4 linked regions of the Arabidopsis thaliana genome follow. The protein of the gene in region 3 interacts with the protein of the main gene of each other region in a pairwise test. Each region holds a gene or a part of one and is shown on either strand. Other genes may lie near its edges. The genes, in order: ABC4, AT1G21790, AT4G19370 and AAP5.

Region 1 (5,240 bases), on a different chromosome or scaffold from region 3:
CCAGTTTCGGTATCAATCAAACACATCGTTGAATCAGCTTCACTTGCTTGGGACGAGTAAGTTTCTGAATTTTGTTATTCATTTGGTTTGAATGTTGTTAGAACTTTATAGAGCTAAAAGCTTGTTCCTTTGTATGTGGTTGCAGTGAGAGCTGGTTGTACTATTGATCCTGTAAACTACTTTGCTAATGATAACCTTGCTCCTATGATGCGGCTTAATAGCACACGCGGAAGGGAAACTGAAAACAACAATATTATGCAGAGACAGCAGAAGCTGCAGATCTCTTTGAATTATAACTACAACAACAATAATACTGTTGTTCAAGATGAAGTCCCAAAGCAGAACTTAGTGTCAACTGGTCTGAGACTATCTTATGATGATGATGAGCGCAACTCTTCTGTAACTTCAGCAAATGGAAGCATAACAACTCCAGTCTATCAGTCACTCGGTGACAATATCAGATTGGACCTCAATAGACAGAACGACGAGCTTGATCAGTTTATCAAATTCCGGGTATTAATTTTATCTACAAAGCGTATGTTTTTGCTTACATATCCCATGTCGTTGAAATTGTTCTCTCTTGGAACAGGCAGATCAAATGGCGAAAGGTGTGAGAGATATTAAACAGAGACATGTCACGTCCTTTGTCACGGCCTTAGAGAAGGATGTGAGTAAGAAGCTTCAAGAGAAAGACCATGAGATTGAAAGCATGAACAAGAAGAACCGGGAACTCGTGGATAAGATAAAACAAGTGGCAGTGGAAGCTCAGAACTGGCATTACAAAGCAAAATACAATGAATCTGTGGTTAATGCCTTAAAGGTAAATTTGCAACAAGTGATGTCACATGGAAACGACAACAATGCAGTAGGAGGAGGAGTTGCTGATCATCATCAAATGAAAGAAGGGTTTGGGGATAGTGAGATTGATGACGAAGCAGCTTCTTACAATTACTTGAACATCCCGGGGATGCCAAGTACTGGGATGAGATGTAAGTTGTGTAACGTAAAGAATGTTTCGGTCTTGCTCGTGCCATGTAGGCACTTGAGTTTGTGTAAAGATTGTGATGTGTTTACTGGTGTTTGTCCTGTTTGCCAGTCTTTGAAAACTTCTAGCGTTCAGGTCTTCTTCTTCTGAGTTGTCTTCATACTCTTGAAAAGTAAATGGTGGATGAACATATTTGTATGTGATGGTGGTGATGAATGAAAACTTGGTCGAGTCTTTCTTTGCTTTTGCCATTAAACCTATATAGCATGATTCTGCTATTTCGTAGTTATTAAGCAGCCGTTCTTTGAACACGAGATAATAATTGAGTTCCGTGTCGTGTGCGATATGTCAAGCTGTGGATTACATTGTTAGAAGAAATTATTAAACTTGTTTTGGCTGATTTTTTTCTTCTTAATATTTTTGCTGCAAAACTTGTTTCCCAAGTAAGGTTATTTATGTACTAAAACAATATTTTTTTAATGTAAAGGATTTTGATCAATATTTCCGTTAGAAAAATACTAATAAAGTTGATATTAATATACATCATATTACGTTTGCAAAAATAAAAAAGACGCAGTTAATTTCCCCATCTGAATATTAATTTTTGGCATTAATATTAATTTGGTTTAATTATAAATTATGTCAACATTGTTTAATTTGTAAATCATGCAAATCTAGTTTACTTGTAGTAGTTTGTACCAACCAAACCCTCAAAGGCTCGAAAGTAATGGGCCTTAAAGGCCCACCTTTCTACTTGTATTTAAAATTGGTCAAAGACACGTGAACCTCACGTGATTTTATCTTCCAACGAGGGAGCTTCTGTTATCCACTTCATCATTCACGTCTCTTCCGCAAAACCCAACATTCAAATTCTTGTCTGAATAACGAAATCCCAACATTTGCATTGCATAGATTCCTTCACAAATCCTCTGATTCTGATTCTGGTCACTCAATTTTGCCTGTTTATTGGCATAATTCGGGCACTTTTCTCTCAGTTTTTGTATAAGGTTCAATGAGTTTGTTCTGTACTTCTGTGTGCGTTATCTTCTCCAAATTAAGATTCCAGATTCGTGGGTTCATGAAAATCTCGTTGTAGACGAGCCAAGTTGAAATATTTTTCCTCAAGTGAATTTTGTTATGATCACGTCGTGGTTTTGATCTGACTCCACTTCCGTCGCTAACTCTCTTCGAAAGATTCGTGTTAAAAAAGGTAAAGTTCCAAACTTCATACTTTTTTTACTTCATCTTACTCATTTTCCATTGTCTCTGATTCATGCCAGAACAAAGATTTTAGTTATAGGGTTCCAGAATCTCGGACTTTAACTCGGAAGTAGTGTTCTTCCTCTGTTAACTGAAATTCTTTCTTTTGTTTTATGCAGAAACCTGAAAATGGTGAATTTTGTTTCTCTCTGTGACATAAAGTATGGGTTTGTGCCCAAAAATTCAACTGATTTGTTTGTGAAACGGAAAATTCACAAGGTAGGCTTAGCACTTCATCCAAAGCTTTGTTCTTTGACAATAATCTACTTTGTACTGTCACTAAAATTACTTAGCTTAGCTTCCCAGCAGAGGAGATGTAATCACTAGATTACCGGTGTTTGGTTCGAATGCACGAGAGAATCTGAATGCTAAACCAAGAAGAAACCTTAGAGTTAGGCCAATCTTTTGTAAGAGTTATGGAGATGCAGCAAAGGTTTACCAAGAAGAGGAGATTCCCAGAGCAAAATTGATATGGAGAGCAATCAAACTACCAATGTACTCTGTCGCTTTAGTTCCTCTTACCGTATGTTTCCTCAAGAAACCTTTCTATGTCCTCCATTGCCTTTATCTGCTAGGGAATATTCACTGTTCAAATGTCACACAGGTTGGCGCTTCAGCGGCCTATTTAGAGACGGGTTTGTTCTTAGCTAGACGTTATGTTACTCTATTGCTCTCATCAATTCTTATCATTACTTGGCTCAACCTAAGGTGATTAATTGATTGATTCCTTTTAACATTTTCGTTGACTGTATTTACTCTTTCATGTATTTACTCTTTCCAAACATGGTTTTATGTTTGCAGCAATGATGTTTATGATTTTGATACCGGAGCTGATAAGAACAAAATGGAATCAGTAGTAAATCTGGTTGGAAGGTAAAGTATTATCAAAGGATAGAGTTTGCAACTTTGAAGTTTATGTTTTTGAGTTCCATCCTAATAAACTGTGTTTTACTTGGAAAAGCCGGACAGGAACCTTAGCCGCTGCAATCACATCGCTAGCGCTTGGTGTTTCTGGTCTAGTTTGGACATCGTTAAATGCAAGTAATATCCGTGCAATACTATTGCTAGCCTCAGCAATACTCTGTGGCTACGTATACCAGGTGAACGTTACTTCCTAGATGACAATTTGATACTAATCTAGGAGATTTCTAACTTAGAGTAATACTTTGTGACTAGTGTCCGCCATTTCGGTTAAGTTACCAAGGATTAGGAGAGCCTCTATGCTTTGCAGCATTTGGTCCATTTGCTACTACTGCTTTTTATCTACTTCTTGGTAGCTCAAGGTAATATCAAAATTTTGTTTTAAGCCTAATCCATTCGTGTTTCCATGAGGTGTTAATAATGGAAGCTTGTTAATCGGTTTTGGCAGCGAGATGAGGCATCTTCCGCTAAGCGGTAGGGTCCTTTCATCATCTGTCCTTGTTGGTTTTACTACATCTCTTATCCTTTTCTGCAGCCACTTTCATCAGGTTGGTTAATGAAAAAGTGGTCTAATGAGTCCTGAAATGACAAACACAGTACTGACTACATTTACATTCTATAGGTGGATGGAGATTTAGCTGTGGGGAAATATTCACCTCTGGTACAAATGTGAAAAAAACTCAACAAGGTTTAATATGAATATGGTGATTGTGTTTATGATTAGAGTTTTTTTTTGGTTGACACAGGTTCGGTTAGGGACTGAAAAAGGAGCTTTTGTTGTGAGATGGACTATTCGTTTACTATATTCAATGCTTCTTGTTCTTGGTTTAACCAGGATTTTGCCACTACCTTGCACCGTAAGTTAACAGATTTGAGAACATGACTGAAATATAAGAACATATATTAAAACCTCCTTTTTGTTGTTGGTGTTTCAGTTGATGTGCTTCCTGACATTACCAGTTGGGAATTTGGTTTCAAGCTACGTTGAAAAGCACCACAAGGTAAGATATTTAGAATTGAAATTTGTAATACTCAAAGTTTTGCTAATCTATTCTTTTAATGCAGGATAATGGGAAGATATTCATGGCCAAGTATTACTGTGTGAGACTCCACGCCTTGCTTGGAGCCGCATTGTCGTTGGGGCTAGTTATCGCGCGCTAGAAATCAGTCACCAAACATTTGTTTCTCTCTTTAGCCTTCGTTGTATCTACCTAAACGTTTAGCCACTACAGTATGCTGTAGCTAAAAGGAAACATTCGAACTTACAACAGTTGTGAAAGGTCTCAAATTAATCACAAGCATGGTGAGCGATTGTATCCTCAATTGTTAAAGTGACGGGTGCCACCATGGATATGTTGAAACATGGGCCATGTCGGATTTAGTGCAAGCCCGTTGACGGCGTTTGTGTTAGGTAATTCAGATTTCCAACACACAAGATGGCCCAACAAAGAGGTTATGCTTGTGTTTGTAGGACATAATTGTTTCTCGATATGGACCTTTCTCCAATTCTTGAATCCATCCCAAACCACTGAAGTTGGATCCCATGTGCATTTAAGAAAATCATTAGAAGGTGAGATCCAGATTTATATTAGAGAACACATAAAACCCCAAAATATTATCATTTGAGAAGCCTATTCAGCCTATGTTATTAGGTTTTATAGCAAAATCATTAGCGGGTTTAGATGGGCTGCTCAAATGATAATATATTAGGCTTTATGTGTGCTCTAATAACTTTGATGGTAATGAGTTGACGGTATTGACCAAGTTGAAGATTGTGGACATTGTTGATTGCAATTTGATTCCTCGTGATCTGTTGTTGCTTTATGAATTACCTTCATGGCCGAGAAGCCTAGTTCATTCTAATCTTTTCACATCCTCTAAAGAATCCACAAGCTAGTAATTTTTCTTAAGCTTTTTACATTTTATTAATTTTCTCAACAAATTATTATATATTACTTGGATCTCAATATTACTTATATAGTACTAATATAAAACATTAAAAATCTTAACGAAATGTATATATTGTTGTTTTATATATATATATATGTGTCATCTTCTAATTATTCTAACTAAA
Region 2 (4,261 bases), on a different chromosome or scaffold from region 3:
CCATAATTTTCAGATTCTGACTTGTTAGTAGCAAAAAGATCACCCTTGTTTCTTTTGCTACATAGTGTAATCTTCTTAACGTTTATGTCTTGTGAGATTCATCTTTGTTATTTCACTGTCACCAGTTTGATGGTCTCATATGATGCATTGTCACCAAGTAAAATATTGATTTTTGTTTTGTTTGGTTAGATAAAGACAAAGAAAACTGCAATCTGTGGTGCTGCTGAACTGCTGATGTTGAATCTATTCATTGGTCGTGTCTAAAATACAATATTTTGGATTAGATTCTAAACTGGTACATGCAACAGAACAAGCACCTGAGGTTCTATGGTGTAGTGGTTAGCACTCTGGACTTTGAATCCAGCGACCTGGGTTCGACTCCCGGTAGGACCTCTCATGCTCTTGCATTTTTTTTTCTTCCAAACATTGGTGGAAACTGAACCGGACCAAACTTCATCAACTCAACACTAAACAAACTTTCCTAATAGATTGAAAAGATTATACCAAAATTTAACTGAATAAACCAAAGTTCATTAAGATTAACTTTTATATAATGATTATGATATATAAATCACAACCAAAGATCAAACCAAAATTCTAATTTGGTTCCGTTTCCCCAAACACAAGAAGAAAAAAAGTCTGTTGACTGTAATCATCAAGAAATAACATTTACATGTAGTTTTCCTATAGAGAGATACATACAAATCTGAAAGCTATTAGAACTTAGTAGCAAAGCCTCAGATATAAACAAGAGATGAGTGGGTAGTATTCATACAACAACAAACCATAGATTCGGTAATGGATTGCCTCTAAATTAGCTATTATTCTCCATGGTCGTGAAGGTTGCCGTTCTCTTGGTTTCTTCTGTGGCTTCTCTCTCTTCTGAAAGCATGAAACAGATCCAACCCGAGGCCAACATTAAGAATGTTCATTCCTGCCATACCAGACAGAGCGAGTGGTAACTCCACGCCTTTCCCAAACTTGTGTGCGTCTTTGATCAGCTTGATAGTGATGAGAATGTGAGGAATGCATCTCGCAAACACAAAGGCTGTCCAGTTTAATACCCACTCCAGTTTCACCAATGCTGTGTTGCTGTCTCGGATTCCTGCCATTCTCCTTAGCTTCCTCACGTGTAGAAAGATCGAATGCATCTGTTTACACATCCGAATAACAGAGGTGTCACTTTTGTTCGAACAAGTAGATGTTGTAGAGTTGAGTCTATATCTAACTAGATTGTTATATATGAAACTAGTCTAGTTTAACTAGAGAATGTTAGCATAGATTCGGTAAAGAACAGAGAAAAGCCAGGGCAAGTTTTCAGGAAGAAAAAAGTGGAACGTACCTCACAGATGAGAGTAAGAATAAGGTAGTTGATGGTTACATTTCGGTATAGTGCCAATGTGAAGCAAACAAGGAGGACTAGATGGTGAACAAGAATAGAAGGTATTAAGCCGCTGTATAACCGGTACTGAAGCATATCCCACTGGTCATATGCAAAGTAGCCGCATGAGAAACACAAAGCTGGATATGCCCATTTCCAAGTCCCACCAACCAACTCAGAATGATCAAACATCTCGTCTAAACCTTTGGCTAAGCATTGATTGAGAAGTATGAAAACCACTGTAGTAACACAAGAGCAGTGTTGAAGATGAAAAATCATAATCAGTAAGGCTTAACGAAGAAAGAACTGCATTATACTCAAGCTATGGCAATCAATCATAAGACTAATCCAATCGGAAATAAGAATCACATTAAGCAATGAAACCGTGAAAACACAGCACCAAAGGAAAATTGACTAATACCAACGACCAATGTGCACACCTATGATAAAATTTCCCCACTAACAGAGCACAATCCTATAGTAAGAACTCAAATATAAGAGAAGAGAGAAAGGGACCTGATGCGGAGGTGATGATTGAGTGCAAAAGCGAGACAGAGGTATTAACAAATATAGGGTCACGAGAAATCCATGAACGAACAACCCAATTCATCAATTGAAAGAAGCATCCACCGCAAATCACCCAGAGAAGCTCCGTCCGGAGATTGAAAGCAATCTCAAACACGACGGAGACAAGCCAAAGAAGCAGCGTCGCTAAGAAAAACTGCCCAGCCCCATTCTTCTTCCCTCCTGAACTCCCAATCCCGTTCCTCGCCATCGAAACCTCACTGTCTCTCTCGGAGATTGCTTGAGAATCCGGCAAAGTTAACCCTAAATTGGATTCTTAGCTCAAACTTCGATATCCATTTCCAATTTTGGCGGAAGAGACGATACAAATGCCTTCACGTTATAAGCTTTACTTTGGGACGCAACGGACACGTGTCGGTCGATACTTCATCCTCCTGATGCTGACTCATCTAATTAAAACAAAAAACGTACGATTTCAACATCGACAAAATTATCATATTTTGTGCCGACATTCGATGTCGACAGTCATTAGGCCTAGTCACAGCCCATTTGAAAGGCTCGGCCCATTTGAGAGGCTCGGTACACCAAACTAGAGGCAAATCCACTCAATACTATACATTAGACAGAGTGATACAACAAAATCCAGAGTTGTTGTTAGTTACACACACAGAAGAGAACAAGAAGACTATAAACAAAACACCATCAAGCTGAAATGTTCAAAGTATGTGTGTAAGTGTATATTAGACCGGTTTCCACACAGACAAAACCTCTTGAAACATCTCCAGCATCAGTTCTCGATCAGCTTGCCTGAAGAAACTGCTGATTTCTTCTCTGACATCATAAATCTTTCCGAAATCAAACAAATACATCAAACACCCTTTCTTCAGTTTCTCCAGCTGATAAAGCCAAGCTTCTTGTAGCCTCTCGAGCACATTACTCGAGTTTATATCTTCCATTAGGCTCTCCTCGCAGGCTGCTTTCAAATCCGTTATGTCGTACTTGTTTGCAGCGCCGAGGAGGGCGAGCCTGTGTTTCCAGAACTCTTCTTGGGTTATGTTTCCGTAGAGGTAACTTAGTAGAGCCATGCAAGATTCTCTCGACATGTCGTCTATGTGGATTGTGGATGATTCCTTTTCCATGAGGTCGTGGTGGAACATGCTTTTGAAAACAGTTGAGCTAGCTGAGAGGATAGCTTTGTGAGCAGAGAGTGTTCCATCGGCTGTGTGGATGATTACATCGGTTAGTATGCTTTCCTCTAGCATCCGGGATAAGCATTTGAGAGTGGTTTGAGTAGAGATTGATTGCATTGTTGCATCGGTTGGCCAAACAGGAGAAGCTTCACCACCCTGGATTATGATTTGATTTGATCAACCATGGAAGTACAAATGTTACAAAGAGAAGAAATTGTGAGAGTATAAATAGAATCATTAAGCTTACATTCACAGGGCAGATTTTGAGATCAAGAAACTCAACATCAATGGTGAATCGACCGTGGAAACTGGAGTCAACATGCCACACACAATCATCAGTTGTACGCAGCAGCTTCTCATAAACTGCACCAAATAAACAGAGTATCTCAGCTTAAACAAACCTAATTCAGTTGTAACCATCCCATAAGGTACTACTAATCATCAGCCAATCATTAACATCTAAATTAATATCTTTCAGATTCCACATAATTGAATATAGTTCCCACATAAAAGGTAATTCCCTTTCCTGAAATACCTAATTCGAGCTCGACAATAGAATTCAAATTCCAAATCCAGAAAAGTCAATTCAAAGACAAGACATACCAGGAGAGATGTAGAATCTACGATTGGGGCCAACGTTGGAGACACGAAGAACAAATTTGGCAACAGGAGGTTGCTCTTTAGATACTCGAGAAAGTTCTGGGAATAGCCTCACTGATAGATAGCGATTCCTCTCTATAGACAGATGCCTTCATCATATCCCAAAACAAACAAAAATCAAAATTCCGAAGAAAATTTACCAAAATAAACCAAAAATGAAAAGCTTACCAATTCCAAATTCCGACTTTGAAAGGATCGGACTTTTTGAAAGAACAAGGACCAAAATTTTCAATTCTCCATTGAGCTAACCTCGAGATTGTCTCTACCTTCGTGTCCCCCATCCACTTTCTCTCTGAAGTTTTGACTTCCTTTTCTCTCTGAACTCTTTACTTCACGCCAAATAACACGACGAAGCAAGCAAAACACTCTGCCGCCTCCATCGCCTGCCACGTGTACGACGATTATACGTTTTTATCCATTAAACCGGTTTACTAACGATATATTAAAATCAATTCTCGGTTTGAAATGAAAGAGAGTGGACTTAGACTTAGAGAGATAACAGATA
Region 3 (4,240 bases):
CAAGCTATGGATGACATGTATTTATCCGGTGGGTTATTAGCGACGTCCGATACGAACGTAGTGATTCTTGCGGGATCCACAGTCGGAGGTGGTTCTACAATCAATTGGTCCGCCTCGATCAAGACACCAGAACATGTGATGAAGGAATGGGCAGAAAAGTCAAAACTCGAAATGTTCGGAAGTGATTTGTATCGAGAGGCAATGGATGTTGTCTGTAAGAGGATGGGTGTTCAATGCGGATTTGTAGAAGAAGGGTTTAATAATGAGGTATTGAGAAAAGGTTGTGAAAAGTTAGGGTTACCAGTGAAGAATATTCCGAGGAATGCTCCATCCGATCATTACTGTGGGTTTTGTTGCTTGGGTTGCAAGAAAGGTCAAAAGCAGGGGACTTCAGAGACTTGGCTTGTAGATTTGGTGGAATCTGATAATGGTTTAATCCTTCCAGGTTGTCAAGCGACGGAAGTCATGTACGACTGTGAACAGGGGAAGAAGAAGAAGGCAACTGGAGTTGCGTTTGCGTTTGGGGAAGAGATTTATGTGGTGGAGTCTAGAGTGACAATAGTGGCTTGCGGTGCGCTTAGAACGCCGCATCTGTTGAAACGTAGCGGTTTGAAGAATAGTAACATTGGGAGAAACCTTTGTCTACATCCGGTTGTTATGGCTTGGGGATGGTTTCCAGAGGAAGATAAGTGGCCGGAAAAGAAGAAAAAGAGCTACGAGGGGGGAATAATGACTGCGATGTCTAGCGTTGTAATTGAAGAAACGCATAGTTCTTATGGTGAAATGGTTATCCAGACACCTGCTCTACATCCAGGAATGTTCTCAGGGATCATTCCCTGGACATCAAGCAAGGATTTCAAAACCCGAATGCTCAAATTTTCAAGAACCGCACACATTTTTGCGCTTCTGAGAGATAAAGGAACCGGAACAATAGATTCCAAGACCTACATTGACTACAACTTAAACGATGAAGACGAAGAGAGTCTAAAGAACGGTCTTGAAAGAGTCTTGAAGATTCTGGCCGCAGCCGGAGCCGAGGAGATTGGGACGCATCATTCAGAAGGTAGGAGTCTGAATGTTAGAACAGCGAGTTCGTTAGAGATTGAGCGGTTTGTGAGAGAAGAGAGTTCAAAGCCGTTGAAGGATTTGTCAGGTCAGATATGTTCAGCTCACCAAATGGGAAGTTGTAGGATGGGAATTAGGCCGGAGGAATCCGCGGTGAGGCCAACAGGAGAGACTTGGGAGGTCGAAAGGTTATTTGTGGCGGACACAAGTGTTTTTCCGACCGCTTTAGGGGTTAATCCGATGGTCACCGTTCAGTCTATTGCTTATTGTATTGGACTTAATGTTGTTGATGTTCTTAAGAAGAAGAAGTGAGGGTTCATCAGTTTGAAATAGATTTTAGTTTTCCACATATTTTTTAAAATGAAATGTTTTTTTTATACAATTGATAAAACTAATATTAAGAAGTTCTTTGTCAAAGTATCAGTTAGCAATAAATTTCCTTTTCTTTTAATTATTCGTAAACTATAACTAGTAAACACTGGTAGGCAGTAGCAGCTTGATAAATAAGAAATAAAGATGAGCAAAATGGATAATATTTCTTAAGCTAGTAGGCAATATATGATATGAAATAAAAAATCATATTAAAATTTCAGATTTTAATTCTAAAACAAAACAAACAAAAAATTATGTATACAAAAAGTTTCAAGCCTTTAACTTGGGAAGGCTTAATCTATACTCAACTTCTATAGTCCATGCCATTATCATGCTTTTGTTCTTTTTATTAAGGCCACTTTGTATGTAAGTCAAACAATCTACGTTTGACCTCGTCTTTAGTAAACACAAATCATCTATTTCCTTTTAATCGTTTTGGAAAAAAATTTTATTTTAATGTATGATAATATTCTCCTCTCTTTTATTTCCATATTATTTAGTTGACAAAGAAGATTTCTATGAGAAGTTACCTCACATAGTCACATATCCAAAATTTTAAGTTTGTGTTGTGTACTTGTATCAAAAGTATACGCCATCATCTATTTTCTTTAAAATGGTTTTGGAAATTTTATCATTTGATATAATTAAGAATTTTATTCTCTCTCTTTATTTTCCATCCTTATGTAGATTAAAGAACTTTCCTCAAGCCTATTAAAAGATAATTAAATAAATCCCCCTGAGAATTTGACTCAAATAATCTAAGGTGTAGCATTTATGTTGCAGAATTACATATATGTAAGTGCGTCTGATTGATTTTGTCCACTAAAAACTATGCACAACCTTTTTCTCTACTCAGTCGTGTTCTCTCTTGGTCTCGTTTCCTTCATCACATGTTTCGCAGCCGAGTTCAAGAGAACACAGGTACGACGTCGAGTTCCTTCAATTTGTTTTTTTATATTGACAAATCGAACCAAAGTTTACTTGTGTAGAAAGAAGATATTCGATGGGACACAGAGAGGAACTGCTATGTACCCGGAAGCCATGCGTTCGGGCTTGGATCAGCCGCTGTTCTTTGCTTCTGCCTTGCTCAGATCGTTGGGAACATAGTTGTGTTCCGAAATCACCGGACAAGAACTAAAAGAGAAGATGGTTACAAGATTACTGATCTTACTTTACCTACGGTTCTATTGCTCCTGTCCTGGTAAAATATTTTTCCTCTTCTCTTTTTTTTTTTTAATCTCATCTAACTGTAACCAAGAATCCCCTTAACCACCTACCGATATATCTTACTGAATTTTGTATTGGGTAATTTTGAATCAGTGAGTAATTCGGTTTACGGTTTAGTTTTCCGGTTTTACTAAAACTTAAACCTATAAAACCATTTGTATTTTGGTTTGGCTGTTTAGTTTTTGTTTTGTACTAGGTTCGGCTGTAGTTGAAAAAATAAAACCGAAATATAAATATATAAGAAGTTCACCAATATTATGTTTATGCAATAAAAAAATATAACATCTAAAGAAAATATGGACTGGTTTGTTAGGTGACACTAATGCAAAGTTCGGTATCGTTTCGGTTAATCAATTTGTTTTGGTTTGATTCGATTTTAAGGTTGAGAGTTATATTTCCCATCCCTAAGATTCTAAACATATCAGGCGATGTATCATCTAAAGTATAAGAAAGAAAATATCTCTTGAGATTAGTTTCCTATATTGATAATTCTCTGTTCTTGTTTTTCCTTACCTATGTGATCAGGTCCAATTTTGTGGTAGTGGTATTGATTTTGAGTACCGCAATAAGCATGAGTCGAGCTCAAGCGTATGGAGAAGGATGGCTTGATGAAGATTGTTACTTGGTCAAAGACGGTGTCTTTGCAGCTTCAGGCTGCTTAGCCATCCTTGGACTTGGAGCTTTGACCATTTCAGCCACCAGGATCAAAGTAAAGAAACAACAACAACTTGTGCAAGTCGTAATCAAAGACCAAAACCAAGACCAAAGGAGATCAATGGAAGAAGAACAAAAGCATGATGAGCACCAAACGAACAAGTCAGAAAGTGTCATTCACTTGGTGGAAGAAGTGTCTTCCACTAATATAAGCAGAATATAAAAATAAATATAAAACGAAAAGTAAAAGGGGAAATATCGGATATGCTATTATTTACAAAGATGTATATAATTGGTTAATGCACTTATTTAATTCATCCATCAACCACTTAAGGTCACCTAGGATACCAATTAAAAGAATGTCGCGATAGTTTCAACTTGTGTATAATAATTATGCATTATGCTATTTTCTTCTTTATCTCAATTGACTGGCAATTAGGAAGATTCGTTCCCAGTTACAAGCCTCAACTAGTGGTCTACATAACTCTGATCAATCTAAGATTATAACTTATTACAACATGAATAAGAGAATAGTACTTTCACACGTGTGGGAGATGCAGACACCCAAGACTTACCAAGTCAACTATACTTGACCCATTTAAGTCAAAACTCAAAGGGAATAGAGAAGAATTAAACATGGAACTAGAAAAACAGTAAAGACTGTTACATATGTTGGAAGATTTAACTTATCAGTGGTTGTAACAAATAGAAAAGAAAAAAAGAAAGAAACAACATTCTTTCAAAAATCCTAAATAAAAAAGGTAAGTTCATGATACCAAAAGACACATGATTCTTAATGATATGTGCCACAAAAGATATCGACTCAAAACAAATGTTTAAACCCCAAAAGCAGAGATTCACAGGTCAGTAAGGCATATAGTATCCACTACAGAAATATGTTGGTGGTAGTTGTAATTGAAGT
Region 4 (5,683 bases), on a different chromosome or scaffold from region 3:
TATTTTTTTTTGTCAACTTTTTCTATCAATATACTTTTCAGATGAATTATTGGTTTTCCAACAACATCGTTCTGAAAAATCAAAATGTTTTCCAACTCAAATAATAGATTAGATGTTCCAATGATTATATTAAATTTCCTATTTTTTGGTAATTCATATATGCAGAAAACTTCGGAAAACCATTGCACAGCAATAAGCATTTAAAAAAAGTGAAACCCATTCTATCAATGTTATGTTGAAAAACTTCATCTAATTGAGGTGTATTTTGCATGTTCATACAAAAACTCCAAAAATAAAATTGAAAATAATCGAGAATATTTAACATTGTTATGTAACTTCAATTTGTGAGAATTTATCAACGAAAATAGAGTATATATAATATGACCAAACTCATAACAGGCAAACACCACTTTACATAGTTTCCACTTTCATTTCCTCAAACCAACCGAAAGTTTTTAGAAACATAGTAGATATAGACAAAGAAGTCCATGGTAAACGTTAATTATTTAAATAACTATTAAATAATAAATTAATAAAATATTTACTTTATCAATTTGTTTGTAATTATGGTTGAAAACTTGCCCATCAAAATTTTAAATATATTTTCTTTTTCAAAATAATATCTAATTGCCTATGATAAATGATTCTAAAATAGTAAAGTATACCACCAAATCGTTCATTTATACTCTTTAGAAATGATATAACGACAGTGTATTTTCCAACCGAATGGTCGGTGTTTCCAGTGTATTTGAAAGAATTTAAGAGCGAGAAAGAAAAATTTATTAGCATCTCTTTATTTTTAATTCCTCGGAATTGGTTCGTTTGAGTTTAATTAATTCCGGTTGACAAAAAAAAAACAAATGATATAAGGAATTTGAAAAGTTAAATCCTCCGTCAACTTTCTCTTGACATCAAAAGTACATATAACATAATAATCAATAATAATGAAAAAACAACTATATCTCTAATTATAATTACTTTAATTTACTCAAATACTCATTAAATTAAGGACATGAATCATTGTTTTTAAATTTTAAAATTAAAATATCTATATTTTAAAGGTAAAAATCTTAAAATTTGGTTTGATGTTTAGCTTTTATGGAATTTTTAAGAATTGAGATTAATCCTAGCAATTCTAGCAATGTTATGTTGAAAAACTTCATCTAATCGAGGTGTATTTTGCATGTTCATACAAAAACTCCACAAATAAAATGGAAAATAATCGAGAATATTTAACATTGTTTTGTAACTTCAATTTGTGAGAACCTATCAACCAAAAAAGAGTATATAATGTGACCAAACTCATAACATGCAAACACCACTATACATAGTTTCCACTTTCATTTCCTCAAAACCAACCGAAAGTTTTTAGAAATATACTAGATATAGACGAAAGAAGTCCATGGTAAACGTTAATTATTTAAATAACAAATTAATAAAATATATACTTTATCAATTTGTTTATAATTATGGTTGAACACATGCCCATGTTAAATATATTTTGTTTTTTTTGAGTAATGCCTATGATAAATGATTCTAAAATATTAATATAAGTATACCACCAAATCGTTCATTTACAAATGATATAACGAATTTCAAAAGTTAAATCTTCCTTCAACTTTCTCTTGACATCAAAAGTACATATAACATAATAATCAATAATAATAAAAACTACTATATCTCTAATTATATATTTTCTTAAATTACTTTGATTTACTCAAATACTCTTAAATTATAAGGACATGAATCATTGTTTCTAAAATTTAAAATTAAAATATCTATATTTTAAAGGTAAAAATCTTAAAATTTAGTTTGATTGTTTAGCTTATATGTAATTTATAAGATTTGACATTTTGCACTTGTTGTCACTAATGTATAACAATGAAACCATTTTCTCATAAAAAGATAAACTATTTTTGTAGTCCTCACAAAAAAAAAAAAAAAAGCACATGCGGTTTCCTCTGCTTCTTCCTTCTTACAAGTTGGATGTCTCCGTCTTCCACGGTGCTTATAAATTAGTGAAACAACAAAAGCTTTGGTCAGTATTTATATTATCATGCATTTCTAATCTCTACTTTGTCAATTCCTATACTTTCACTCTCTTCCAATTATATAATCTCTGGTCCATAGAAAACATCGGTCTCTTGTCACCGTTGATTTTATTTGGTCAAAATCATTCTTCTTCTCGCTGAATAATCGTTGATTTCACTTCTTCTTCTGGTCTTAAAAAAATTCAAGATCTATACGAGAAAACACAAAACAAGTAAAACTTTTTCAACCGTTTTTCCTGTCGGTAAAGTTTGGATTCTTCTTAGTAAATTTTGGTCTTATTGTCGACCAAAAGAAGAAGATGGTCGTTCAGAATGTTCAAGATTTGGATGTTCTTCCGAAACATAGCTCGGATTCATTCGATGATGATGGTCGTCCCAAGCGAACCGGTAATTTCTCTTTTTTTCTCTAATTTTATGTTTTATGTTTCTCTAATCTGTTCAAACAAGAATCAAAGTAAATATAAAATTAGTCTCTGTTTCCTATAACCGGGGATTTGAACCCGAAACCCGGAATTTTTTTAATTCCGGGTTTCGGGATACAAACCGAAACCCGGAGTCTGTTGAACTTGCAATTTAAAACATCTACAGTAAATATATGCATAGGCTTTGTTTGTTAAGGGGTGACAAATTCCTACTTCTTTTTTTGTGTGGATGTTATGGAAAAGTATGATTTTTGTTACTAAAGTGTATGAACACTATTGTTACTACAGTTGTTGTCTTAAAATTAACGGTTAAACAAAACAGACTTTATTGTTACTACAGTTCTTGTCTTAAAATTCTGTTTGAATGTGATTGGTGTTTAGGGACGGTGTGGACAGCAAGTGCACACATAATAACAGCAGTAATTGGGTCAGGAGTGTTGTCATTGGCATGGGCCGTTGCTCAGATTGGTTGGATTGGTGGTCCAGTGGCTATGTTACTCTTTTCTTTCGTTACTTTTTACACATCTACCCTTCTCTGTTCTTGTTACCGATCTGGTGACTCTGTTACCGGCAAAAGAAACTACACTTACATGGACGCTATTCACTCCAACCTCGGTAAACAAAAAAAAAATCATTTCGGTTTCTTTTTGGTGCATATATTGGGATATTGAACCGAAGATCGACGGTTGAGATGACAAGGCCAAGATATAACAAAAAGATATTATTCTAGAAGATAAATGTTAATATTGAAGTTTAGAAAGTTTAACATTTATCTTTTAGAATAATATTTTCTTGCCGTATCTTGGCCTTGTCATTTCAACCGTTGATCTCTGTCGATCTCTGGTTCTCCATATCGGTTCCATATCCCAATAGTTATTATCATCAAAAACTTAATTCATTCTTGATTCATTTTTAGGTGGGATTAAGGTGAAAGTATGTGGAGTTGTGCAATATGTTAATCTATTTGGTACAGCAATTGGATATACAATTGCATCAGCTATAAGTTTGGTGTAAGTTAAAACTTTGCTTTCACAAAACTCTTTTTATTTTAATTGTTCACATTTGTCCAAAAAAAGTTAGATGCGTGTTTTATTTTGCTATTCAATATTGTCCATACAAGTCATTAATGTTTGGCTCAATAATGCAGTGTTTTAGTCAATGTAGTCTTGTTTTGTGCCATTAAAGATTCGAAAGAACGGCTCTATTATTGTTTGACTTGTTAACTAATTTTCTTGAATAAAAAATTTACAGAGCAATCCAAAGGACAAGTTGCCAACAGATGAATGGACCAAATGATCCTTGTCATGTTAATGGAAATGTTTACATGATTGCGTTTGGTATTGTACAAATCATATTCTCTCAGATTCCTGATTTTGATCAGTTATGGTGGCTTTCCATTGTCGCTGCGGTCATGTCTTTTGCTTATTCTGCCATTGGACTTGGCCTTGGTGTCTCTAAAGTGGTAGAGAACAAAGAAATTAAAGGTAGTCTCACTGGAGTCACTGTTGGGACAGTGACACTGAGTGGGACAGTGACATCGTCGCAGAAAATATGGAGAACATTTCAGTCTCTTGGCAACATTGCGTTTGCGTACTCTTACTCGATGATTCTCATCGAAATTCAGGTATTTTTGTTACGCGAGTTTTTTTTTTTTTGAAAATAATGTTAAGTTAGATTCAAAAGAAAAATAACGTTGTTACAACTAGTGCATCGTTTGGTTTATTTGTTAAGCGAGTTTGTGTGATAAGAGTTTGTTTAAAGGATGTTTTAATCAACTAGACGATTTGATGATCCAGGACACGGTGAAATCACCGCCTGCCGAAGTAAACACGATGAGAAAAGCGACTTTTGTAAGTGTGGCAGTGACTACAGTCTTCTACATGCTATGTGGCTGTGTAGGGTATGCAGCATTTGGGGATAACGCACCCGGAAATCTCCTCGCTCATGGAGGGTTTAGAAACCCATATTGGTTGCTTGACATTGCTAATCTCGCTATAGTGATCCATCTAGTCGGTGCTTACCAAGTCTATTGCCAACCCCTCTTTGCCTTCGTCGAGAAGGAAGCCTCTAGGAGGTTTCCAGAGAGCGAATTCGTCACAAAAGAGATCAAGATCCAACTCTTCCCGGGGAAGCCCTTTAACTTGAATCTCTTCAGGCTCGTATGGAGGACGTTCTTCGTGATGACAACAACGTTGATCTCAATGTTAATGCCTTTCTTTAACGATGTAGTCGGTCTCTTGGGGGCCATTGGTTTTTGGCCTTTAACGGTTTATTTCCCAGTGGAAATGTACATTGCACAGAAGAATGTTCCGAGATGGGGCACAAAGTGGGTTTGTCTACAAGTCTTGAGTGTGACATGTCTTTTTGTGTCCGTAGCCGCGGCCGCGGGATCTGTTATTGGCATTGTTAGTGATCTCAAGGTCTACAAACCTTTCCAGTCTGAATTCTGAGATCATACGGGAAAAATAAACTCCTGCTAAAAGGGTTAAGATTAGAATTGAATGTTTTAATGTCATATTTGTATTAGTTAACTTTGTGTAAGTGTTCAATTATAAATCATGTTTCTACCGAGAATTCTTACAACATTGAACTATCAATGATTAAAAGTAGTCATGTATAAGGATAGCTTTTTCGACACTTGAGGTAGTAGAGATGTATTAAACATTTAATACTTATAATTAATTTTAGAAGTCTATAAACCAAAGGAGCTACAAGATGTTTTGTGTTTATCTCCAAAATTCTTCAAATTCTTAAATCGTTTATCTTCTTGTAAACACTCTCCAAAACTAAAGATCCCCTAGATAAAATTGAGCTAACAATGCCTAATGAAGCCATACAAATAAGATAATCAATGTTTACCTTGACAAAACAATAATTAAAATTTAACAAAAGCAAATCGAGAATAATGATATGACACTGAAAATATTCTGATCTTTCTTTTACAAAGCAATCGATGAATTCTCAGTTAGTTACACAATAAATAACATTAGTTACATTCAAAAGCTATACAATCAAATGAGTGAAAGTACTTAAGAATAATATCACATGCTTGGTGTCTTTTTGATACCTCAACTCTTTTGTTTTATATATACTCAAGAACTTTAATAATATAAAAAATAACTCAACCAATGATGATATAGTTTTAATTTCCTAAACTACAAGTGCAAAGCAATCAAAGTAGTATTAGGGTCGATCGGTAAAGAATTTAGA

The links.
Region 1: the proteins of AT4G19370 (region 3) and ABC4 interact in a two-hybrid assay, tested with the Arabidopsis thaliana proteins (one large-scale study listed by BioGRID).
Region 2: the proteins of AT4G19370 (region 3) and AT1G21790 interact in a two-hybrid assay, tested with the Arabidopsis thaliana proteins (one large-scale study listed by BioGRID).
Region 4: the proteins of AT4G19370 (region 3) and AAP5 interact in a two-hybrid assay, tested with the Arabidopsis thaliana proteins (one large-scale study listed by BioGRID).

The regions. Positions count from the first base shown.
Region 1 is NC_003070.9:22,323,894-22,329,133, reverse strand, and holds ABC4 (UbiA prenyltransferase family protein), read left to right. Parts: upstream 1-1,774; 5' UTR 1,775-2,195; intron 2,196-2,364; 5' UTR 2,365-2,374; coding exon 2,375-2,464; intron 2,465-2,543; coding exon 2,544-2,768; intron 2,769-2,849; coding exon 2,850-2,953; intron 2,954-3,046; coding exon 3,047-3,118; intron 3,119-3,206; coding exon 3,207-3,345; intron 3,346-3,421; coding exon 3,422-3,528; intron 3,529-3,614; coding exon 3,615-3,714; intron 3,715-3,788; coding exon 3,789-3,827; intron 3,828-3,912; coding exon 3,913-4,023; intron 4,024-4,101; coding exon 4,102-4,167; intron 4,168-4,231; coding exon 4,232-4,327; 3' UTR 4,328-4,697; downstream 4,698-5,240. Other genes in the region: AT1G60610 (SBP (S-ribonuclease binding protein) family protein), read left to right, coding at 1-56, 146-513, 590-1,135. UniProt on the Arabidopsis thaliana protein: Involved in the synthesis of phylloquinone (vitamin K1). Catalyzes the transfer of a prenyl chain to 2-carboxy-1,4-naphthoquinone.
Region 2 is NC_003070.9:7,652,252-7,656,512, reverse strand, and holds AT1G21790 (TRAM, LAG1 and CLN8 (TLC) lipid-sensing domain containing protein), read right to left. Parts: upstream 2,426-4,261; 5' UTR 2,157-2,425; coding exon 1,898-2,156; intron 1,621-1,897; coding exon 1,343-1,620; intron 1,152-1,342; coding exon 822-1,151; 3' UTR 532-821; downstream 1-531. Other genes in the region: AT1G21780 (BTB/POZ domain-containing protein), read right to left, coding at 2,647-3,252, 3,344-3,459, 3,700-3,845, 3,925-4,037.
Region 3 is NC_003075.7:10,565,564-10,569,803, reverse strand, and holds AT4G19370 (chitin synthase, putative (DUF1218)), read left to right. Parts: upstream 1-1,965; 5' UTR 1,966-2,268; coding exon 2,269-2,358; intron 2,359-2,426; coding exon 2,427-2,638; intron 2,639-3,189; coding exon 3,190-3,541; 3' UTR 3,542-3,736; downstream 3,737-4,240. Other genes in the region: AT4G19380 (Long-chain fatty alcohol dehydrogenase family protein), read left to right, coding at 1-1,377. UniProt on the Arabidopsis thaliana protein: Together with MWL1, contributes to secondary cell wall biology, specifically lignin biosynthesis.
Region 4 is NC_003070.9:16,763,891-16,769,573, reverse strand, and holds AAP5 (amino acid permease 5), read left to right. Parts: upstream 1-1,888; 5' UTR 1,889-2,350; coding exon 2,351-2,438; intron 2,439-2,854; coding exon 2,855-3,088; intron 3,089-3,135; exon of another isoform or gene 3,136-3,315; intron 3,316-3,389; coding exon 3,390-3,483; intron 3,484-3,724; coding exon 3,725-4,097; intron 4,098-4,269; coding exon 4,270-4,923; 3' UTR 4,924-5,182; downstream 5,183-5,683. UniProt on the Arabidopsis thaliana protein: Amino acid-proton symporter. Stereospecific transporter with a broad specificity for glutamate and both neutral and basic amino acids. Reduced affinities for asparagine and valine.